Linked DNA regions of Caenorhabditis elegans. The protein of the gene in region 2 interacts with the protein of the main gene of each other region in a pairwise test. Each region holds a gene or a part of one and is shown on either strand. Other genes may lie near its edges.

The links. The genes of interacting proteins can lie anywhere in the genome.
Region 1: the proteins of flh-2 (region 2) and nhr-21 interact in a two-hybrid assay, tested with the Caenorhabditis elegans proteins (one large-scale study listed by BioGRID).
Region 3: the proteins of flh-2 (region 2) and sdz-12 interact in a two-hybrid assay, tested with the Caenorhabditis elegans proteins (one large-scale study listed by BioGRID).

Annotation. Positions count from the first base shown.
Region 1 is NC_003280.10:7,335,637-7,343,891, reverse strand, and holds the start of nhr-21 (NR LBD domain-containing protein), read right to left. Parts: upstream 4,664-8,255; 5' UTR 4,630-4,663; coding exon 4,614-4,629; intron 1-4,613.
Region 2 is NC_003281.10:4,948,886-4,957,818, reverse strand, and holds flh-2 (FLYWCH transcription factor 2), read right to left. Parts: upstream 5,696-8,933; 5' UTR 5,687-5,695; coding exon 5,453-5,686; intron 5,327-5,452; coding exon 4,865-5,326; intron 4,411-4,864; coding exon 4,135-4,410; intron 3,959-4,134; coding exon 3,731-3,958; intron 3,647-3,730; coding exon 3,545-3,646; intron 3,299-3,544; coding exon 3,188-3,298; 3' UTR 2,648-3,187; downstream 1-2,647. Other genes in the region: C26E6.1 (Protein kinase domain-containing protein), read right to left, coding at 280-386, 445-928. UniProt on the Caenorhabditis elegans protein: Probable transcription factor. May bind to the promoters of target genes, including micro-RNA genes, in order to repress expression, and acting redundantly with flh-1 and flh-3.
Region 3 is NC_003280.10:3,727,989-3,735,314, forward strand, and holds sdz-12 (Zinc finger protein sdz-12), read right to left. Parts: upstream 3,836-7,326; 5' UTR 3,561-3,835; coding exon 3,444-3,560; intron 3,321-3,443; coding exon 3,264-3,320; intron 3,200-3,263; coding exon 3,059-3,199; intron 3,003-3,058; coding exon 2,784-3,002; intron 2,741-2,783; coding exon 2,561-2,740; intron 2,494-2,560; coding exon 2,395-2,493; intron 2,344-2,394; coding exon 2,164-2,343; downstream 1-2,163. Other genes in the region: bath-31 (BTB domain-containing protein), read left to right, coding at 4,038-4,150, 4,196-4,731, 4,776-4,927, 4,970-5,089. UniProt on the Caenorhabditis elegans protein: Together with ehn-3, may play a role in gonadogenesis.

The sequences.
Region 1 (8,255 bases), on a different chromosome or scaffold from region 2:
TCCTGCGCGGTAAGCATTTTGAATATGCCGTTTCTCTTATTTGACCCTCAAGCTGAAGAGGAGGAGAACAGAAGAGCGAGAGAGCAACATTTTTCGGGTACAAAGTACGGGGTGTCTCGGAATACACGATTAGCCATAATTTATTGACAGGGCAGAAAAGTCAACGAACGTGAATAGGTTTTTCGTAAGTAGTTCATATAGAGTTTTAAAATTTACAAAGAGGCGAACACCCGTCGAAAAATTCAGAGGAAAATTAATATATTTTCTAGACAAAAATTGTCTGATTTTTATAGTTTTTCATGCCGAGCTTCATCTCCTCCTTCTTATTTAATCCCACTTTATAATCTTCAAAAGCTATACCACCGCTATATAATAACTACACGACACATCGAAATTGTTAGTGACAACATGTGATATAGTCATAAGGATTAGCCATTTTTCAATAGACACAAATCCTATGATGCACTTGAATACAAAAATCAGAGGCAATGTACTATTTAGGAAAAGCTGTGTCTACACAGATGCTCACACTTCCACGTTTTACTTCGTTTTTGTAAATTTTTTTTTGAAAATGGTCATATAATAGAGTTGATGATATTGAGCGTAATCTGAATGATCTAGAAGAAATGACAGTAAGAAAAGAAGAAGCGGTTCGATGAACCGTTTGAAGGCATCTCTTATACGGTCCTTTGAGCGGAGAACGCTCATTATTCTGGAGGCGGAGGCGTGAAGTTGTCACATGGGGCGGATTTGTAAACGGTATGATAGTCACTCAGAGAATGGTTAAAAAGATTCGCGTGTGCGCGCGAGGGAAAAATCGAGAGAACATCCATTTATATCGATGAGCGAATCAATGTGATGAGTACTTTGGCAGAAAAATCATTCAAGAAGGTGATGGTTTGATGAAGGGTTCAAAAACTAACTCAAGTGATTGGATCACAAATGGGATCTAAATAAAACAATTAATCATGTCATGAACAACATAGAGAACATTCACCTAGAAAATTCTCAAAAACAAATAAAATTTCTAGTAGTGTGTCACGCCCAGCTAAGACGTACCTCCCGTACCTTCCAGGGCGTTCACCTGGCAAAAGACAGACAGGTGAGGAAAGTCTGGAGCATATAATAGCATGTATTTATAAAATTAGAATTAAATTGAAATGTAAGGAATTAAAACAAAAATGAATGAATAAATTGGCATAAACCAGAACAAATTTTAAACCTAATGAGCTGCTCAGTATAAAATTGGTAGTGGCAGATTCATCAGACTTCCAACAAAAAACATTGACGTCTGAATGAAAAGTGCACCGCAAAAAAATGTTCCACGTGACATCTGCAGGCAAAGGCACTCCCCCAGACACATCAGGACAGAAGATTTTAATCTTACGAAAATTGGAATTCTGAACTGACATGCTGTATTTTGGTTGAAAATTAGTGGTCTGATAAAAGTGATTAGAAGCATATTATAAAATCGAAAGGAATAAGGTAATTTATCGAAACTTTTGAAATACACACTATTGCGGAAATGACTATTTCTAAATTCAACGTTGGCCGAAGTCATTTGGGGAATCCCTTTTTTCTTTGAATGTCTAGACTCTTCATAAAATTCAATTCAACATGTGACATCATAAACAAGCAAAGATCTCTTCCATTTTTTACAAACGAATTGTTCTCAATATTTTTGTCATAAAAATGCGTATTTTGACTGCATACAGTTGATCTCTTCGACCTCTCTATCACAAAAATATAAAAAATCTGTGCGATCTTTAATCATCTCCATTTCTGATCTGTCGCGACGCCTTCTCCCACTACCATCTGTTTTGTTAATCACGATCTGACACGTGGTTACTTTAAGTGCATAGTTTGGAAAAAACAAATGTTTCAAGAAAATAGGAACCAATTTGTTGTAAATTCTCATCAGAATAGAATAAAATATAAAGCCATTAACCCTGACTTCTAGATTTCTTCCTCCGAAAATGTTCAAAAAATCACGTAGCAGGGACACATCGTATATTATCGTGTAGAGCGCCAATCCCCGAAAACCACAACATTCTGATCAAAATTAAAGATCAAAGCCTTTTTCTTCTTATTTATAGCAATGAGTTTTGGTTTCAACACGTTCAAATCCCCCTTTGAGCATTGAACAAATCAAAACGGAACTACATGATTTACGTCATTAAGCACGACTATTATTAAATTTTATAATAATAACATACATCAATCCAAGAACAAAAATTTCACGGCATGTAAAAAATGTCTTGCAAAAAGGCAAAGAAAGAAAGAGCAGTGAGAGTTTAGAGAAAAAGAGTCACAAAAATTTTGTGACCATTGAAGTTAACAAAAGATTTCAAACCAGAAGGTGTTCAAACGAATAATAATGATTGGAAAATTGTGTTTTTTTTTTGAAAAAAAAACTATTCACAGACGAGGAAAATTAAATAATAATGAGATTATTCAGAGAAAGAACTAAAGGACATGCTGGAAGATGATATCAAAAGTTCGTTTTCCACCAGTGCAAATGAAAAAGTATAAAATGACTTTCAAAAGTTTTAAAACTGCAGTGGTCCGTATCAAGTTTCATTTGACACTTACTAGTGAAGCTTAAGCTTTATTTCAAAATTTTTGAAGTTTGTGCTGTGGACTTTTTTTAAAACATGGAATTGAAATTTAGAAAATTTTGTGAATTTATAAATTATAACAATTACCTCTTTGACGGTGCATTCTGAGAGTAGTAGTTGTGCTCTTCAAAAATATAGCGATCTCTGATATAGTATGATCTATGGATTAGCCGAGAAGCAATCAGCACGAATAGAGAAATGTACAAAAAATGATTCGGCTGCTAATAGTGCAAGAACTGTTCACACTTTTAAAGAGGAGTCTCGCTCATTTTTTCCTACTGTCCATTCATATTGTGATCTGTTCCGAGCAGCATAAACTACAGTCAACTCTTCCATTTCTCATTGCGACGAACTTTGTTCCGATTGTTTGTTCCCATTAATTTTGCGCTCGCGCGGAGGAGTCTAGGAAAAAGAGAAATAAACAGAGGAAGAATAGGGGGAACAACGAACAATTTTTACTTTTTTGTTTTTAATTTAATCCTATCACTTGATAGGGAACCCTTCATTGCTGGTAAAAATAATTATAGTCGAGGAATACTTGCAAATCCTGCAATTTAATTATAGCTATCAAAATTTTTACTAATGTGAAACCTTTTGATCTTTTGATATCTCGCAAGTGATTATAGAAATATAAGGTTGAAATCAGTGCTTATAATCCGATTAAGATGATATTAATCATTTAAAATTTAGAAATATGTTTTGCTTACAAAAATCAAAATTGTCATAACAGGAAAAAAAAAATACATGAATCAAAAACTGTAAATTTATTTAAAGGCGAAACTGCATAAATATGGATTTCAAAAGATATTGTTTTAAAATATTCAAAATATAGTTTTTTCTTACATTTTGGCAGTTTGAATTTGGCAGATTATTATAACGTAGAAAGACAAGATATCAGAAAAAAATTCTTCGAAATTCTAGTTAATTTCTTTATTCTTTCATGTTTTCCATCTTCGTCATAAACTCCTCTAGGCTTTTGATTAGAATTTTTATTTCCTCCCTGGTCTCATATGTGTTTTTCTTCTAGTTCGTTGAGGCAGACAGGAATGCGTGTTATTTCAATGATCTTGTCATATAAGACCAGAAAAACAAGAGTACAGAAAACAGAAATAAGGATAGTAATTCGATGCAGAATATGTTAATTAGCAAAACTAAATTACCAATGAACAAAATGAACGCAAAACTATTATCACAAAAAAGAGAAAAAGGATGAAATAAAAGAATGATATGAAAACAGAGGACATGAAATGAAATGAAGTAATTCATGACATCATGAAAATTAGATAGGTTTGAAAGTCGAGATGACCCGTGGAGTTTCTATGGGCATAACTGCCCAAGTGGCAGACCCATTTCCACACAATTGTACTTTAAAGAATAGAAAAGAGAGGACGTGAGAGTATGGAGCAATGGGAGGTGAGCAACGAAACAACCGGCTGTGCGGAACAAAAAGTGAAAATGGGAGGGAAGGTGTGAAGAGCCACTGAATGAAAGATGTGTTCGGTTGGTAGGATCATTGAACAGATTATCAAGGAAAAAAGAAGGAAGTAGTTACTTGTATGCTTATGGCTGGTGCCAATTTTTACCGGCTTATCTGCGATAAAAGAAACAAAAGAAAAATTGTTGGTTTAATTTGAACTTTATTAAAGGCTACATTGGTAAAAACTTAATTAGGAAAAATACGAATAAAATATAAATTTAGTAAGCACCAGGATATGTACGCAACATTAAAGTTTGGTATTCAATCCTTGAGAAGAACAAAACATTTTAAGTTGGAATGTTTATTATTCACAGCCACAACTCATGTTTTCTATCAATTGAATACAATTGAATTTCTATAAGTCAATGTTAGCTAAAGTATGTTTAAAAGATTATAAAGTTATGGATATAGTCTGGTCAAGATGTTATATGATAGAGAAATCAACAAGAAGAGGAAAACATAAGAAGATAGGAAAAGGAAGCAATGAACAATTCGCAGGAGAAAAGGGAATCACTTACTTGATCTAGGGCCCATGATTTGTGACGATTTGATTCTGTGAAGAGGACACCTGTAAGACGAAACAGTTGGATATCACGGGAGGAGTAATTAATGAGAGAAAAGGCAATAAAAACATTATCAACAAACATACAAACTACACGTGTTTGAATTATTGAAGTATGATGGAAGAAAGAGGAAAATGAAAGCGAAAATGAATATTTTGGTTCTCAATTAACGAACACTACAACCTACAAAATTGATACACACGGAAACAACTAGATTGTATGATATCAAATATCCGGTTTGATTTCAAAGTTCAAATGTTTAAAAGGTAACCTTTTGGGTAGATAAACTCAAGCTTTAAATTTGCCATATGAGGTTGGTTCTGAAGACTATAACATCTTTGAGACAGAAACATACTTTACTTTCATTGTGGTTCTAGCCTCTAACAATAAGTACCTACATTTTTACAGTTTCCTTAAAATAATAATTTGGCTGCAAAAAATATTACTTGAGAGAAGAACAAAAATGAGATAACCGATAAATCCGTAGTCAATTCTGAACTACGCATATCAAAAACGTTTTGAAATCGGTATAAAATATCTAATCACCATTTTTTAGTTAAAATTGCGTACTAGAAAAGTCTGAAATATTTAATTTTAACATCAGTATCACTTTTTCTAACTACACACTACACAAATGCCGAAATTATTTGTGGTCATGGGGGAAGCAAAATATGCACAAATTTGAAATGTCGCATTAACTTTTTGAACTAACCGATAAGAAAACTACCTCAACTGATCAACAAAAACAAAGATATAAATACAGGCTTTTCATAATAATAGTTCTACGCAAGTACCAAATACAAAACCTGGTTGCATCTATGTAAAAAACAAAAAAAAATCATAATTTTAGGTGGCAAATCCATGAATGATATAACCTTTTGTTATTAAAAGAAATACAACATACTGAGTAGTTTCAAAAATTATTAAAAAGTCAAATTAAGGGAGAACTCATGAAAAATTAATTTTTAAGCTGTAAAAACGAAAGCCCATTAGGGATGACAATACAGAGACGAGAGCCCAAATTCTAAACCAACTGCAAAAGGCGACTTATTACTTTAACTCGGGTTAAATTTAGTTATGTAAATCTTATTATATTGAAAACTATTATGTTTCGTGACCCATGACCAACAACATTTTTCCATAATTTCTTTCTTCTCGCTAAACTGGGTATATCTCCGAGATTAATCTAAAAGAAAGTGCATATTTTAGGTCAACTCATCAGAAAGTCATCAGAAAGTCAAATCAGAACTACATATGTTCGTAGTGAACTTTTCTGCTTAATCTGAAACTTGACAACCATACCAAATAGGTGTTAAAGTAAAAGTAGGAAGCATGAAGATAAGTACGGCAGTATTCACACGGTACACACACCTGTCCTACAAGGTATACGGGAACCGAATCGTGCAAACACGTACATGGAGATGAAGATGAGAGACAGAGAAACCCGTAATGAATAGTGTACTGGAATGTAAAAGACGCAGACATTAAAGGGACGACTATTGAAACACGCGCTCGAAATGTTCTTTGCTCGCTGGTGGCGGACGGCGGGTGTGGAAAAAACGCGACTGGAGACACAAATTGGAACATTATTTTATCATTTTTCTTACGCACTCTGAATGAAGACCGCCTTTTTTGGGGACAGTCAGATGACTTTTTTGACACGTCATGAAGATTATCAGGGGCCAATTGGCTTAGGACGGAACAACAGCTAATTATTACATCAGTTCAAGGACTCTAAGCTAACATGTCAATGTCACGTGGTTGTTATCTTTTGCACCGGGATTTTTTTTTGATTTCTCGTCCGATGGTTTGGTTTGATGAACTCGTCGTTTTAATTGTTGACCTTTAAAATATAAGGACAATGTGATCTTTGGAAAAAAGGGAATACTCTCACACTTCTCGAGACTCGCTGCGTCTGGAAGCCCTCAAGTCAATTTTCAACTTCCTCTTATTTAGAAAAAGAAGTCGTCTCCAAAAATTACTCAACTCCAGCTCAAGTTGAAGTAGAATATCGAGAAAAAAATGAAACGTGAGAAGAAGAAAAAAGGAAAAAGGAAAAAACAATTTTCATGGCTCTCGCTCTTTCCCCATAAATGTGTGGAAATCAATTATGCATGTAGTAGCAATAGATGATTGAACTATCCTGTCTTGTTAGTTGGAACAAGAAAAACAACGTTTTAGACCAAAAAATCAACCCGTGCATGATCTTTGAATAAGTATTGCAAAGATAAAAGAAGGTGTCATATAACGTTAAAATACTTAGATTTGGTTTTGGAGGAAAATCTGGAAAATCTGAAAACATGCTCTACTTTTCTGAGCTTTTTTTGACTAATTGTAAGTAGAATGTAAAAAGACAATAATTCCACAAGATCACCTTCAATGTAAACTACTTTGAAATTAAGAACTCAAGATGGACTAATATTGAGGATTATCACATTTTCGTTAGTGATAAACCAAATTCGGTAATTCTCGACTAATAACAAATAACAAGATTATGCAAATCTAGGGGGCACAAATCACGGTTTTCAGGGAACAAGTATAGGGCTTATAAACTGAGAAATCTCAGAGGAGTTTAGTTTTCTCTTTTCAGAACACAATATGCTATAAAGTTAGATTTTTTAAATTATTTTAAGTTGCTACTATTTGAAAGAAAAAAACAAATTCTGAGCCTAATGTTGAGACCTGTGTGATTTGAAAGCAGAGACGTTAAATCGAATATTTAAAATTTATCTGATCTTTATTTAAAATAAACCCAATTTGTTATGTTGCTTTTCTGAAAATTTTAAAACTCAATCAATATTCTTGGGATGATTTTTTTGGAAATTCGGTAAAAAATTTACAGAAGTGTAGTCGCATCTGGATGCTGATCTTTAAATATTTTTTTGTGACTTCCATTTTTTGATGAGGACATAATCTTCACTCTTTCCATTTTTATCTTTCCGTGGAAAACCGATAAAAATTGTTCTCTATTCATATAATAGCATTGGAGGCACATGCTTGGGGCAAATTAGACGACGTTTTCAGTGGTATTTTTAAAAAAGTGGTGTGAAGAGCTAAAGAAAAGAGCATAAAGCTCGGATCGCCGCAAACTTATTAGATTGGACTACTGTAAGCACAAAAATGTTAATCAATATTGCCAGGATAATTATTTGAAAACTCAACTTAAGATCATCTTTCAGCTTTCTAAGCATGCGACACCATAAAAGCCTTTTCAAACCCTTTTTTTTTAATGCAAAATCTTGCAATATACTTGGAAATTCGTTGCAACAATTTTAAAAACGTCAATCTGAAAAAAAACCTGGTGAGCATTCAAAATATATCTCTGTGCATTTTCAGATATTGCAATAAATTTAACAAATGGGTTGCAAAATTGCTGCAATGAACTTCAGCAGATGGAAGTGAAAACTGTTGAAATGAGAGTCAGGCCTCTGGATGAATCTTAATTAATAATGATAATTCGCAAATTGCTGAAATTGAACATTTTTTTAATGAACTTTAAAAACCCATCGATTCCAGTTTCATTTATTCCGATGCTCATATATTTTACTCCAGTAACCACAGTTACATAATCATAGCAATGTAATATTATTCCAGAAC
Region 2 (8,933 bases):
ATGGAATGGAAACAATTGCCCGACTGCACCAATTCTAGTTCAAGCGAACAATGATAAGTTTTGTATTCTGTATTCCTTCACGTCTCCCAGCGAGCGTAATAAATTATTATTATTATTATTATTATATGAGCATGAGGACATTTCCAGTCAATTTTGCGCTTTATTACAAAAGAAAGGTATGGATGAATTCTTGATTTTTCCATAAATCCTCGATGTCACACGATTCCTTGATTCGATCCAGAACCGTCTTCGCAAACGGAAATTTAAACTTTTAACTATTCAATTCGACTTTATACATACATGCTTTCCGTCTTTTCCCTTCATTTGCATCTTCAGATCATTGAAGATTCCATCCAGACGGAGGAAATCTGCTCGGTTACCTTCATCTGAATTAGACAATGTAAGTTCTGAATCTAAATAGATTAGCCTTAAAAATTAACTAACCATCGAACGTGTTTCCCTCGTAATCGATAACAGTTACCCAAACTCCACTCGTCTTCAAAACATACTCCGTGCCTTCGACTTTGTAACAAATTGTCTCCTTTCTCGTATCATTAATTAAAATGTTTCTTTTGTGGAAGTCATTGTGCGAGTATCCACTCTTCTTTCGAGCAGCGACCAAGAAAAAAATGATTTGGCATATTACACTTTTGACTTGTTCGTCTGATTTAAACTTGATTCTTCCAGTCAGCTCACTTCCACACATTTCCATAAACATCGCGAAATGAGTCTTATGTGGCGATAATGAATATTGTGAACAGACAGTTGTTGGGATCTTCGGGAAGATGCAAGAGTGCAGAAGCTTTGCTGTGTTCGGAGCACTTTCACATATTGAATTGATTTTCGTTGCATTGTCCACCTCCTTAAGGCATCCATTTTTTGATGTCGCATTAACCCGAGGGACCAGCTTTAAAGCGACTCCTTTCATTTTCCATTGTATTATTGATAAAGTTAAGCGAAAAATGAAGTAATTTTGTCACAGACTGCGTAAGTTTACCTTTCAAAAAGGTTTTACTAACTACGTGGAATTTTTTTTTTAATGATTTAAAATATTCATAGATTCAGAACATTTCGAAATTATTTTTTCGATGACGTTTTTCGAAAATTTCCATAGGTTTTGATGAATAATGCCTTTTTTTTAATTGCGGGTAAAACCAGGATCTCACTGCTATTTCTGTCTTTTTAGAGTGTGAAATCCCGATAAATCTTAATTCCCACATTAAATGTACGATTTTCTGAAGTTTATTTAGAAGCTAAAATGATAGAGATCGTGGCGAGACCCAACAAGAAAAATAGCGAAAACACGTTCACCCAAACGATAATAAAATATTTTTTCGAATTAGAAGCTGGAAATGAAAGAGAAAAAAGTGTAAAAGCAAAGTGTTAAAATCGAAACTGATCATTCTGACGAAAACAGAAACCGACATAAGCTTCCATGTCAAATCAACTATTCAGACGTACGTGCCTGTCTCATGACTGCCTTCCCAGCAGCCGTAGGTCACCGTGAAGGCTTACAGGATAACATTTTTGTGCGTACTTCGTAGGTTTGAAGTTAATTGAAAAGCTTTGCGCGTGCGAGAGTGTGCAAGTTTGTATGAATTCTTTCATTCTTCTCAAACTAAGACAAGTATCAGATCTTATGCTGACAACTCGATTGAATACGATGATTCAGTACGGTTTGACCTCCACAAATATTATTTTCAGAAGGTTCAAGCAATGGTCCAAGGAATTGAAATAGAGCTTTGAGCGATTAGTTGAGTCACGAACTTACTGTCAAGGTACTCTCCGGCCATACCTTTTTCTGAAATTCTCGGAATAATTTCTATCATCAGTCTTGAATCATTGTTTCAAACCAAGCAGTTTTTATCAATGACTTACATCTGTGTAATCTTCAATTTTCAAGGATCTTCAATGTATTTTGATATCAACACTATTCAATTTTGATAATGATTGTTGCAGTTGCAATGATCGAATTTACAACTGCACTATTTCTCTCATATCTCTAAAGAACAATTGCAAGATGGTCAAAACAATCTTGACAAGTAAAACTTGATTTTCGCACACTTAAAGCAATAATTATGTCTCGATCAGATATTTAGCTAACATGTTTTCTATTGTTTAAGATAAAAAACGTTTCAATTTGTTTCCTAGCAACGTTTTTGATGTAATCGTCAATGTAACAGCCACAATTGTATGAGCGTCATGTTCTTTCTACATATTTTTGATAATGTATAATTGGAGTCTAGACCGACCCTTACTACAGGGTGGCCCATAATTATGCGGACCGCCAGTCTGAAAAGTTAACAATTGAACATCCGTGTTCCGAGTTTATCGACAAGCTGTAAGAATAGTTTTCAAAATTAAAAAAACACTAATTTTGTCATATAAAACACAAACACTCACTTTTACTAGAGGAGCAACATCTATTAATTCGGCTCTTGAAGATTCTAACTCGACAAAAATGTCACGAAATTTGATGAGTATTTGTTGGAGCATGTTGGAGCTCTTTTGTGATATTTTTTGATGAATTCGGAACTTGATGACAAAATTGGTTATTTCTCATCTCTTTGCTACGATTAGGTACTCAATTTTTCATGGACTTAGACATACTAATGCTAGAACACAATGGTGACATTATAGCAACATTTTTTACTTATTCATGTTCAATTGTCCACTTTATATATATTTTTATTTCATAGAAACAATTTATTGATGTAAGTGATCAGGGGATAATTGTTAGTTGAACGATATCATTTTATCAAAAGAAAAGGAGCATATAAAGGGGGTTTTTTCCTGAGTTGGAGAGGGTGGTTTCCGTAATTTTATAAGGGGGAAAGAGCACAATAAAAGGGAGACATAGAGATTGGAATTGACAAGGAATATGAAAATTTGCGAACTTTTCTGAAAAGTTCACAATGAGATCCGGAAATGGGGGACCTGACGACGAGCTTTTTTGTTGAGAAACAGACAAGATTATAGAGACAAGATAAGGGAGAGGTATTGAGAGGGGAAAATGGCTGGAATAAATTTAAAAAAAAATTTACAATTTGTAATTATATGATTGCTCCGGGAGCTCGATATTATAGGTTCATGACAACTAATAAAATGTAGCGTGCAGCGAAACGTTGCAGTCGGTCAAGTTATAATTTCATGACTCCAAACTATCGATTAATTGAATAATGATCACTTAGACATGGTTTAAAGGCTCGCCGAAAGCGTCGACGGGCGTTAGACGCCAGAGAGCCGGTGCATCAGTGTTGACGAGAAATAGTTTTCCGTGTGTCCAATTGCTGATTAGCTGAAAGGTTCAGAAATGCTTAGAAAAAAATGACTTGATTTAGATTTTTTGTAGGATAAATTTGACAAACTGCCAAACTTTCGAAAAAATCTTCGAGCTTTCCCACAGGTCTTCGAGCTTCCCCTACAACAAATACAAATAATCAATGCTAAATTTCGAAAAGTGGAAGAGTTTTCTCATATTCACCGCCACGTAGCAAAACTCTACCAGGGCTCATGTCTAGTCTTAGAAAATTGATTCGCTTACCGCTTCATGTACAAGCACATTAACCCTCTGTGAGTAACACAGAGCAAGTTTTCCTTCGCAACGTTTGCCAGTGAATCCTTCTAACGCAGTGATTAGGGATTTCTGAAAATTATAAATTTTTAGGAAATAATTGTTGATTGTTTTCTGCTTTCAGTCTTTCGGGCTTCCAGAAATTATATTACTTACCTCATCACGATTCATGACAACCACCGGAAAGAAGACATTCTCTTCTGCTCCATTATCATGTGATAAGAACAAAAGAATTGACCCTTCATCTCCTTGCCATCGAACTCCAATTTCAGTTTTTGGCTTCATCATTTCCATGAGCTTTTTGGTCAATTCGTAAGTGATACGGAATTCTTCTTGTGACATCAATTGAGATGAATCTTCTTCTTCTTTAGGAGTTGTGCGTTGCTGAAAATATTAAGAAATTCCAAAGTTGTTCGAAATTTTCGAATTTGGCCCTGAATTTTAGAAATTCGTATCATTTTTTTTAGTTCATTTCCGTTTTTCTGGCTCAAACCTATAGTTTTGAAAAGTTCCAACCTTATGATGTTTGAACAAAGCATAATTATTCAAGAAAAACAAACCGATTTCAAAGTGATAGGCATCACAGTCGTTGATACTCTTTTCTGTCCAACAACCGGCGGACTTATTCCAGCAGAAGTTGCAGCTGCAGCCGCAGTTGCTGCTGCATTGATTGAGGCGAGAAGCATTAAATTATTGTTTTGTTGAAAGTTTTGAATTGTTTGATTTGTCGTGTCAACTTCCATTGGTTCAGCTTTAATTTGTTGTGGAGCAATTGGTAGAGCTTGTGATACATGTGAGGCACGGCTCAGTTTTCGTTGCATGTAGGATCGGTTGATCTAAAAGATTTCAATTTAAAAAAGATTGGGAAATTTTGGAATTCTTAAATCAAAAAACATGAAATTAGCAGTTACACATAATCCGAATGTTTTATTAACAATAAGTGTTGTGCCTACCTGCCTGCCTACAGGATCTACCGAAAACTAAAAAAAAACTTTTTTATTTTGGCTGGTTTCCCTGTAACCCCCCGCGATGAAAATCCACGCCCACTGCGTCTTTAAACTCCGCCCACTCCGTCTGATTGGTTGGAAAATGAGCGGAGCGAATCGCTGATTGGTCTAACATTTATCATTTTAGAGGAAGTTCAAGCAGGGCGATTAGTAAAAATCGAAATACATATAACGTTTCGGCGTACATACATTTTCGTTCTTTCTCGACTTTTTATTTCTAACTATTTTGAATATTTCAAGTTTTGAATATTCACCATAAATCTTTTAGCTCAAAAAAACTCACACTTTTCACTGGATGACAATAATTTGGATGGAGAGTAGAGAAATCTTGCTCATAAAATGCAAGTTCTTCGGGCGACGGTTTCTCATGATTATGTGGATGTAACTTTCTCACAATTTCTCGTGTATTGATATCTGAATGCATTCTTGCATTACAATCATTCTTTCGTTCACATCTCCAAAATTCTTTAGTTCCACAACACGATTTCTTATCAAATGACATGATATATCCATCTGCATACACTTTTTCTCGCACATTTCTCGGTTTATATTCGGGTTCTGTGGACGATGATGACGTGGATGTTGCGTTTGATTGTCCACTGTTAGATACTGCAGTTGCAGTTGAAGACGGTGATGAGCTGGCAGATGGACGTGTATCTTCAGATATTAACTGAGATGTTTGGGATTGTGGATCAAGAAGTAGAGAGAATGCTTTTAGATTTGTAGTGCCAAGGGCTTGAAGAGTCTGAAAAATAACAGATAGACTTACTCGAACATGAATATCTAAAAAGTCTTTCAAGAGAATCAATTTCACATCTATAACTCAATATATTAATCAAGGAGTCAAAACCACAAAGAGCCCATCTCTCACCTGAATAACATTCGTATAGTCAATATCTGCCAAATGTTTTTGCGAATTGGTTCCATTCACCGCTGCCTGCACAATCGTTGGTTGTTGTAACAGTAATCCGGCGACTATTTGCTTCTGTGCCAACATCGCCAGTTCATTATTATTATTTCTGTTTGGTGTCGTCGACGGTAGTGGAAAGATCGGAGGAACCGCTGTGACACCATCTGTATTTGTGTTCATCATGGTGTCCACCATACAGGCGGTCTGAAAAGAGGAAAATTAATGGAAAATACGATGAATTCAAAACTATCTACACGGTATGTCTCAATTGTTTTAGAACATTTGAATAACAAATCCAAGAGATGCAAGAAGCGTACTAATAGAGGAATTAAGTGACAATTGCGATTAAGGTGAACAAAAAACAAAAGTAAAGGGAATATTAATATTTAGGTGCAATAGAAGAAAAGGAAGTGGTACCATCGGAGAATTGAAAAAATATGATAGGGTTATTCCAAAATTGTGAGATCATGAGTTTTCTCTGGTTTGGATTGGGATCTACAAAACTATTTTACTAGAACTTGTATTTTTTTTAATCAGAGAGCAAACAAGGACATTCCAATTCACCTCTAATTGTAGTGCTTTCAATCTTTCTAAACCTCCTCAACATATGATAAAAAGTTATTTAGTTGAAAATATTTTGCTAGATTGCTTTTTTTCAAAAAGTTCAAAATTCGTAGACTTCTTAAAAATATTTAGATAATGTTCCGATGTTTTCCAAAATTCCAATGAATAGTTTAAGATTGCCCTCTTCGAGTTGTTGTAAACATAAAAAATGGAAGAGAGTGTGCTCTTTTGACAGAGACTGCACTAGTAGTAAACGATGCAGTGAGGGGGAACAAAATGGTCGCGCCAGGCGCCAGCTGGTCGCAGCAGGGGTCCGTCCGCCGGTTTGGAGCCTCTCCCCTCTCCCGGTTTCCATTGGCTCCACATCAGTAGAATCCACTAAATATATGCGGAATGGCGTCGGGAAGCGGCCGCGGCGGAGGAGAGAGGGAGGAGGACGCGGCGACGGACGATTTATTGGCGCCATGCTGTGTTGGTTTAACTCAGTTATTCATCACTTTTGAAAGATACAAATTTAATGAAAAAGTGACAGAGATAATGAAAGAACCCTAGAATTAGATGGTAGATTGGTCAAAAAAGTAAAAACGCAGTCGGAGGCGGCCTATACCTAGCGGGAATTTCGTCTAATGACGCGAATTTTAAGAAATCAAGACAATCTGAAAAAAAACGAACTAAGCCTAAGCCTAGGCCTCATCATGAGCCTGAGCCTGAGCCTGAGCCTGAGCCTGAGCCTGAGCCTGAGCCTAATCCTAAGAGCAATCATAAGCCCAGGCCGGTCTGCAGACCCTTAAACTTGCGAAAGTATTGTACAAGACTTGCGGTTTTTCTTGTTAATTTCATAAACTTATGATTATCTGTAAAGTTAGCTTAACATGAATAATATGTAAAGTCCTGACCGGAAAAAACAATTAAATATTCAATTATTACAATGTGGTTAGATACTAACGAAAACAATCATTTTTTAAGCTTACAAAAAACTATATGAATAACAATATAATTAAATTTTTAGAAAATATAAATATTAAACCAAAAAATACCAACTTGGAATGCCCTTTTCGTGAGCTCAATGACTCCGTTGAAGCGGAGCCAAAAAGCAGAAGGGACCTGACTCCCAGAGCCCACGAGAAGCGCCAGGAGAAGCGCGCGCCGAAAAAAGATGGATAGAGAGAAAAAGAGAAAAAGAATGAAAAAAAGAGAGAAGCAGTCAGATGACCGACGCGGCGCCAGTCAAAATAGAGGCGCTCGTGGTGGAGTGAGAGAAGGACGGGGGAGCGAGAGTAGAAGCAGAAAAAAAAGAAAAGAAGACCACCCAAACAAGCTCTTTCTCTCTTTTTCTTTAGACCAACGTACCTATTATCGTCACCGCTTCTTCTTCTTCTTCTACGCCTCTTTTTTCTCCATATTCCCGTGTCACCATCACCACCTAGTACGGCAAAAAACAAAGGTGATGGATGGGAAAAATGAAAATATTCACTGAATTTAGTGGTTATAGATCTAGATTTTTCAAGTTTACAAGAAAAGTAAGACAATGTAACATCAGGCTCCAAAAAAGATAGATTTTTTGAAGACTTTCATTTTTTTTTTTAAAGTTCTAAGTTTTTTGAATCTATTGCTCGCGCAAGTGAAGTCAAAAAAATTTCAGATTCAAAAATGTATTTCCTTAAAGCTTTCGGAATTTTCGCCTACTTCTCTTCGTCTATTAAAATCACAGAAGTCTGCAAAAAAGATCTCTTGGAGCAGTTTTACAGGGCTCAGATAGAAATTTCAGCTTGAAAATAATATTCCTATCTTGGTTACATCATTTTAATTTTAATCTTTAGGCACCAACGGATTAAAGCTAAAAGACATCATTTTTGTGAGCTATCAAAATTTCAGAGTTTTGTGGAAATGGTCAAAATACCTAAACTCACTAAATTGTGCATTTCGAAACATTAAATTTACTTCTCGATCCTCTAATTACAGTACACCTTTTACCTCATCTCATAGAGGGTATATAGTTTTTATCAAATTGTCAAAAATTTCAACCTACGGGTTACGGCTTGTTTAGTAAGTTATAGTAGGCTTTAGTACTCTTCATGCCTGTCTGCTGACCTGCCTGCCTACCGCCTACTTTCTGCTTTCTGGCGTCAACTCCATGTTTGCACTTATCTGGATCTACGAATTTCAAAATTCTTGCAAGTTTAACAGGTAAATGGAAAATGATTCAAGTATTACTAGCAGGCATAGGAAACCAATAGGCCTACCCTATAGGTATATAGGCAGCCATTTTAAGCGAAAAGAGGGAAAGACAATTGGAGGTTTTAAAGACTCAAAAAATTATTCTACGAGTATTATACTATTCCAGCTTGCTCTCCCAACTTTGATCTAGATCCGTTGGAAATTAACCTCCAAAATTAAATGTAAAGTATTTAAAAAAACAATACGATTTTTTTAAAATTTGTTTTTAAAAGTTGTGAAACAAAAATTCCTAATTTTTTTGGAAATTTTGAAAAATCTTTTTAAAAAAGTATTTGGAGTATTTTATTATGGTGCTCGGTGACAATGGATTATTATAAATCTATTTAGACCACCAATTTGAAAACAAACTGCTGAAACTGAGCTTTTGGGTGTGGCACACGTTCTAGGTCCTACAGCTATAAAAAAAAGAAATCAGCTTTTGAGCTAACTTAACCTTTTTTTGAAACTGTGCAGGTTGTGCAAAAATTGAGAAATAGGTCATCCGTAATATTATGTTGCTAAAAAAAGTGTTCATAACGTTCAATCCTACAGAAATAATGAAAAAAACTGAAAAACGAAGAGGGTCCCACCACGTATCGATTGTAGCGAAAAGGGACGGGGGGACGCGGGAATAAAGGGTCAGACCGCGTCTTCTCGGGAG
Region 3 (7,326 bases), on a different chromosome or scaffold from region 2:
AGTTGACGCTGGAGCCGAAGAGGTCAGATCCTGAGAAGATGTATTAGTTTTGAAGCATTATATAGTTTTTTCTCACCGTAGAATGATAATAATAGTGATGAATCAGGAAATACTTGGCAGTTCCAAAGTGCTTGCGACATTTCCTACACGGAGCCAAATTGTGTGGTGAAACGAGGTGGTGGTGCTCGAGATGACGTTGAATTTCCAAATGAGACCGAAATTGCGTAAAACAGTTCAGCATGGGGCAGTCGAAATGAGATCGTTCTTTGAGATGTGTGTACAGATGCTCTTGTAGCTGAAAATTCTGAAAAGTATATAAAAATGAAATTAGTTAGCATACCCTATTCTCTCTGTGAAGCGTTTGTTGACAAATGTTGCACTTCTTGGATTTTGTTCCAGAATGAATTTTTCGATGGCGGTTTAAGTTTGGCTTGTTGGCGAATTGTTTCTCACAGATTTCACATTTGAATTGGCGATTAACCTGGAAAAAGTTTGTTGTAGAGGGAGAAGCTCTTTACATGAAGTTAAACTTACTGGCCTTACCCCATTAGAACCGGTGAGAGTTTGGTGCCTCGTCGAGCTCAATGAGTTGGCTGGCTCACAAACATTACTGCTTGTCGGAAGATCACTTGCGTACTTGAGCTTTCTCTCACTGAGCCTTGAACTCACTGAGCCTTGACCATCAAGGGTGGCACCGCTGAGCTGTGGTGATCCATAGTTTTTCTGAGAATCCGCTTGCTTTTCGAACTCCTGGTTTGGCATTCCATCATTGATCTTCAACGGCAAAGAAGCTTCCAAGGAATTCCACAACTTTCCTTCACAGTTTTCAAAAAAAGCTTCTGGCGTTGTCGCAACACCGGGAAAAGAGCTGAGCAACTGAGCTGGAGTAGATACCTGAAAACCAAAGATTTTGCTCAATATACAATTTAAACTCTTACCATAGTTGTGAGGCTAAAAGACGAGGGAAGAGAATCAATGTTGATATAGGTCAATGGTTTTTCTTCGAAGAGCCTGCTTCTCGTTGGGAAACCACTGGTGCCCGAACTTTGACTATCAACGGAAAGCTGTGGCCATCCATTGGCTGAAGCTAAAGCTGAAGACTCTATGAACAAGCTTTCCTGCAAATCCGTTTCCTTGCTGAGCTCCTGACTTGGCCCACCATCTATTCTTTCTGCTGACAAAGAAGCTCCCATCGCATTCAATAACTCCCCTAAAGTGTTCTGCGCGGCGTCTGCTGACGTTGTCGCTGATTCTACCTTCAGTCCACAATGTTTCTCTTTGAAATGAGCAAGGAGTCCTTGAACACTGGCGAACGGAGCTTTACACTTCTTGCACCTGGCCTATGTGGCGACAGAAAAGATGTTCGAGAAGTATCTTTTGCGAACTGAACTTCATCTCGCACTGACCAATAGGACACGTGAGATAGTTGGTCTGCATAGGAGCTGGAGAAGCGGCAGTTTCAGTTTCCAGATGACTTTTCATATGACTGACCAGGCTTCTTTGGTAATTGTATTTCGATCCGCAGAATTCGCAGGTGTACCTCTGAAATAGATAAGTTAGATAGAGTTAGATAGAGATAGATAGATTATGATGCCAAACGCTATCTATTAAGCACTAACGTCTTCGTAAGAAGACAGCCCAAGTCCACATTTGGTGTTCCGTATGTGATTGCTCAGAGATTTCTGAGAATGTAATTACTTGAACTGTTGCACCTTGCGCAATTCCTGAAAAAAAATGGATCCTTTATTAATTAATTTGTGAAAATTTTACAGTACCTGAGAATAAACTGGCACAAGAGCTTGAGCTTCAGGCAGGTCCATTGATAAGAGAGTAGAGGTGAAGGAATAAATGAACCCGCGCAGAGTGTTTTGGTGGGGCGCAATTATCGATTTGGCGCGCGGTATTGGCAGAGAGCAAATGGGAAGGAGAGTGAAGAAGATGTAGATAGAAAAAGAAACTATGCGTAGTTTGATCTACCAGTCCTGTATTCTGAAGACCAACTAATTGTTTGATTACTCCATAAAATCAGTGATCACGATAGAATAGGGTACTGTAGGTTACCGTAGTTATCAACAATTATCAGTTTCCTTCAAGGGCGAGAACGAGATTCATTGAGTACTTTTAACAAGAAAAAATATTAATTAAGCAGTAGAATCTTATCAATTAAGTTCCTATGCCACCAAAATCATGACTCGCAGTGATGATGTGCATGGTGAACACGATCTTATTTCCACATTCTGCTCCACAAATTGCACATTTGAATGGGCTTCCTGGCGCGTGAAGGGCGTTATGCATGATGCTCATTGTGGCATCGTGGAACTTGATCGTGCAGTGCTTGCATTCCTGAAGAGCTTTTGAGTTGATGAAAGTGTACTTTGAAACTTAAGAACTTACAAAGCTTGGGGTTGGCTCACTGGTAATTAGATTTCTAAACCTTGGCTCATTGGGGCTTAGAGTTGGTGAGAGCTGTTGATCAGTGTTTGGAAGAGTTGCCTGAAAATTTCAAGTCTAATGGTTTCAAAGAACGGCACCAAAACCAATATTGAAAATGAAAACATACCGAGTTCTGTTCACAGAATTCTTCGATCATCGGGGAAGTTCCTAGATTTATGCTCAATTTTTGAGGCGGCTTCTCTTGTGGCGAGATTGCCAACTGAGCTCTGGGACTTCCTGAAGTTGATACGGTGATAGGTGACAGTCTGGCGGAGCTTGTGGGAGCAGGAGCCGAAGAGCGCAGAGCCTGAAAGGATTGTTAAGTCTTAAAGAATTATAAAGCTTTTCACCTCTTTATGATCAAAATGGTAGTGTACCAGGAGATGCCTAGGACTCCCGAATAACTTGTGGCATTTTCCACACGGAGCCGATTCGCTGTATGAAAAGTGGTGATGGTTTACGAGATGATTTTCAACGCCCTCATAGAATACGAACTGCATTGAACAGTTCAACACGGGACAGTCGAAATGTGATCTTTCCTTGAGATGGTTGTGCAGGTGCCTTTGAAGCTGAAAATTACAAATTGCTGGAATTGAACAGGAAAAATGGAATAAAATCTGCTTGCCTGATCTTCCCTGAAGAATGTTCTCTGGCAAGTGCTGCACTTCTTGGATTTTGAACCAGAGTGAGTTATTTGATGACGCTTCAAGTTTGGCTTGTTGGTGAATTGTTTCTCACAATTTTCACATCTGAATTTGTGATTGACCTGAAAAAACGTATAGTTGGAGGAGGAGAAGCTCAGTGGCTTAAACATTTTCTCAAAAACTCACCACATTGGAACGTCCAGGCCTACACGTAATGTGCTTCATGTGCGTTCTCAGCGTTTTCTGAAAAATGGTAGTGAGCTCTATATACTAACTAGCAAAAAAAGGAAGATTATCTGCTGTACAGTAAATTTTGTAAAATTAAGATAAATTAACAACACTTTTTTGCTCACTTCAAAAACTAACCTGATTCGCGAACTTTCTTTTGCAAACTTGACACTGGGGCACCTTAGCAGAATCCTGATCCAAAGTGGAAGAGGTTGCAATAAGCGACAATACGGCGTCTAGTGATGACAAACTCATTTTCACAGAAGAAATCTCTGCGGATTGTCCGAGGGCAGGGAGGAAGGGGAGTGAGAAATGTTTTTGCGTAGTTGCAAAAAGAGGTACATAAGTTCAAAGACTGTGTCCTCGAAAGCTGTGAGAAGTTGCGTCACATATGACGTTGGGGCTTTTGGAGAAGCGGGGCCGACGAATTTATGAAATGTGTGTAATTGCACATTGTAGAGCTGATTGAGTTTTTCAGTATCTCAGTTTTTTCAGTAATTTCTCCATTGACGATGCACCTTCTTTGGGGGGAATATTGTAATCTTTAACAAAATTCACAACATTTTTGGAAGACCAGCTGCCAACTGTGCCAAATTTGCCGGGAAACGAGACGCTGCATTATGCATTATTTTATCGATCCACTAAGATTATCTCCTAGCGTTATTCACTCATAATCTGCCTCTACAAGTCTTCCTATTCGTCATTTTTCTGCAATTTAGTAGGTTAGTAGACATGCTCGTTATAACAAAGGAATTTGTGTCAACTTACACTATTAAAGCAATCTCCAACTTCAAGCCGGATACCACTTATTGCAGCGAGGTTAAAGAATATTACTATATTCCATGGTATTTTTAACTTTCCTTTTTTTATTTAAATTTTTATATTTCCAGGAAACTCCATGTCAATCGAAGAACTGATCAACTTGAGGTGTATCTTAGTTGCGACCAACTTGGCACAATTTGGTCAGTTCAGGCGAATGTTGAAGTGAAGCTTAGATCTCCCAATGAATCTCCCCACTGCAAAACAGCCACTGTAAATTTCAATAGTGAGAAGCCGAAGGAAAACTCATGGGGATGGAAGCAGTTTGCCGATTGGGAGAAAGTCGCAAAAAACTTTGTGATTGAAGATGCGCTACACTTTAAAGTTCATGTTCAAATATTGAACGCTTCTGGGTTCAAGGGAAGAGATCCGGTTTTGAAGTTCGACAATGAGTCTATGGGAGAGCTGTCCGATGTGGTTTTGGTAGTGGATGAGCAGAGATTTCATGTTCTGAGAAAGCATCTCGCTCTGCAGTGCTCCTACTTCAAATCCTTGTTCTTTGGCAGTTTCGGCGAGTCGAAGAAATCAGAGGTTACCCTCTCTGGGATAGACCCGGAAGCCTTCCAGGCATTTTTGGAAGTTCTCTATTTGGAGGACTCGATTGATGGTTAGTTTTTAGTGCTCACATTGGTAATAATTTAAAAATTTCAGACAATACCGTCGAAGGAATCCTTCAACTTGCTGACATGTACGATTCTAGAGCGGTTATTGGGAAATGCGAGAAATTTCTTTACAAGGAGTCCGAGAAGTCCGGGAAAAAGAAATTGGAATTGGCAATTAGATACAAGTTGGAGAAACTAGAGGTAAGTGCGTGCACCTGAATATAACCTTATTTTATCTTCCAGATTCACTGCTGCAACACCATCAAAACCATCCAAGATGTCCGCTCAATTATCGCTGGAAACATTGATGAAATGAGCCCATTCCTGATGAAGCGGGTCTTGAAGCGAGTTCTTGAAGTTTAAAAATTGTTCGTTTTCAAATATGAATTGCATTTTTCTAATAACTGATTTTTGGCCACTATTTTTTCTCTGTTTTCAATTGTAAAGTTTTATTTGCCAGTACAAAAAATAAATTTACGTTTTCTTTATATTATATTGATGAGAAAATTTGAAGACTTACAGAAGAAATTCAAATCATGAACCAGACCAAACCAGAAAAAGTCAAGTCAAGAATTCAAGAAACTTTTATCTAGCATTTCATAAAGTATTTTGATAAGACATATACATAGTTATATTTTGTGGAGTTTAAAAATATAGTTTTGAAAAGTGAAGTTCAAAAACATAGAAAAATAAGAAGTTAGAGGTTTCGAAAATAAGCTTAATTCGAAAGACTCGAAAAAAATCTCAAAAACTGGAAAAAATTGAAGATTTCAATCGTCGGACGGTGTTTGACAGTAACTCGTCGTCGTCGTCGTAAATAGAAGTAGTGTTGATTAGAAAAAACGATGGAATAAAGAAATCAGAACCTCCAAATAGAAAAAGTTCCATGAATGTTTTTAATTCGATAGGCACGCATGCCATGAACATCAGATTCCTCGGCTGAATTAGGCATTAGTAGCTCTGGGCTAGAGTGGGGATAATCATTGTAAATGTAGAAAATGAAAAGTTCAAGGTCTGGATTCAAAGCCTTTAACCCAGAGCTTGATCAATAATTTCAAATTGGAATTGGATAACGGGGTAGCATGGAGTGAAATCACTGGATTGTTCATCAATAGTAGGTCGTTAAGAGTCACAGAGAAGAAGATCGCAAGGTTAGAAACGTTGTGAAATGTTGTCCAATCATTTTTCGATTCAGACTTTCCGCCAACTATACTGATTTTTTCCACACATGGCAGGTATTTAGCCAGATTATTGTTCCCAGTGAACTCCCTATTCAAGACCTTTTCAACTTTCAATCCATCGAGATTTGTCTGAGAAAACTGAGATCTCGAGTTTCTGCAGACAGACGTCACAAAATATCGACTGAAAACAGACAGACGTCACAAAATATCAACTGAAAACGGCTGCACAGCTGTTATAGAGCAGATCAATATGAGCGTAATGGATTTACAGGACTGTTGGAAGTTTTTGGCTGCTGAGTTTTCAAATAGGTGTAACTCGAGAACTATTGCGCTCAGGAAAATGTTGTAAACTAACAAAGTGGTGCTCTTGATCTACTCTACAGTTTTGCAGTTATCAAGTTTTTACCAGCTTCACCCTGGAAAAAGTTAGAGCGGCCGACAACTTGCTGGACCAAATAATTATTTTAATTGAAATCTCAGTTGCTAACAAAACATGTTATTAATAATTTATTAATAAAATAAATTATCAGGGCCACCAAATAATTATAATTATACAGTGCGTCCAACTTCTATAGCACCCCCCTCCAATTTGGCGGTTTGGAGCTTCTCAAAATATTTTTTGAAAAAGTGCTAGTGCAGTTCGATAGCAAATGTTGAAAAACCTATGCTCCCCAATTTTTATTATGATATCTCAAAAATCACAGGAATCAGGTCAAAATATCGGAAAAATGGCCGTCCAACTTCTATAGCACCCCCTCTGATTTTTGGCAATTTTCGGTAAAATCGGGGTTTTCTTCTTAATTAATAAATTTATTTTGTGAATAACTTTACACCAAAATGTTCAGACGGTTTCATTTTCACATTTAAAAAATAAATATAACCCCTGAAAACACGTGGAACGCCTAGGATTGTCCTGGAACGTTCGTATTTGCTTCAGAGGCCATTTCTCGGCTCCCAATGATTTTCGCAGCACCAAACTTGACCAAAATGATCTTCCCCACCTATGTATTACTATTCAAATAATTGTTGAGAACATTTATTCATATGAACCAAATGGTAAAGAGAGCAACTGCAGTGATTTTCAAAAGGCTTGATTTAACTATGAAAACTAGCGTTTGGAAGCGCAGAGCTGATGGTTTTGACTTCCTATTGTACAGAATTTTAGCTCATCCGGTTCAAATATCCTTGAAGCTTTGATTTTGATTAGAAGTCTTCGAAAATTTATTCGGAAAAGTTCATGAGGCCGCAAGTATTTTTCTCAAGCTAACACGCGAAAATTTTAAAGACGAAAGTAAGATATAACTTTCTGAATGACGATTTTTCTAGCTGTATTTATAACTCAACTGAAATTTAGCGAATTTGCTCATTGAATATTTCTATGATCAAAGAACCTAAAGGCTAACAGACAAAACCTGAATC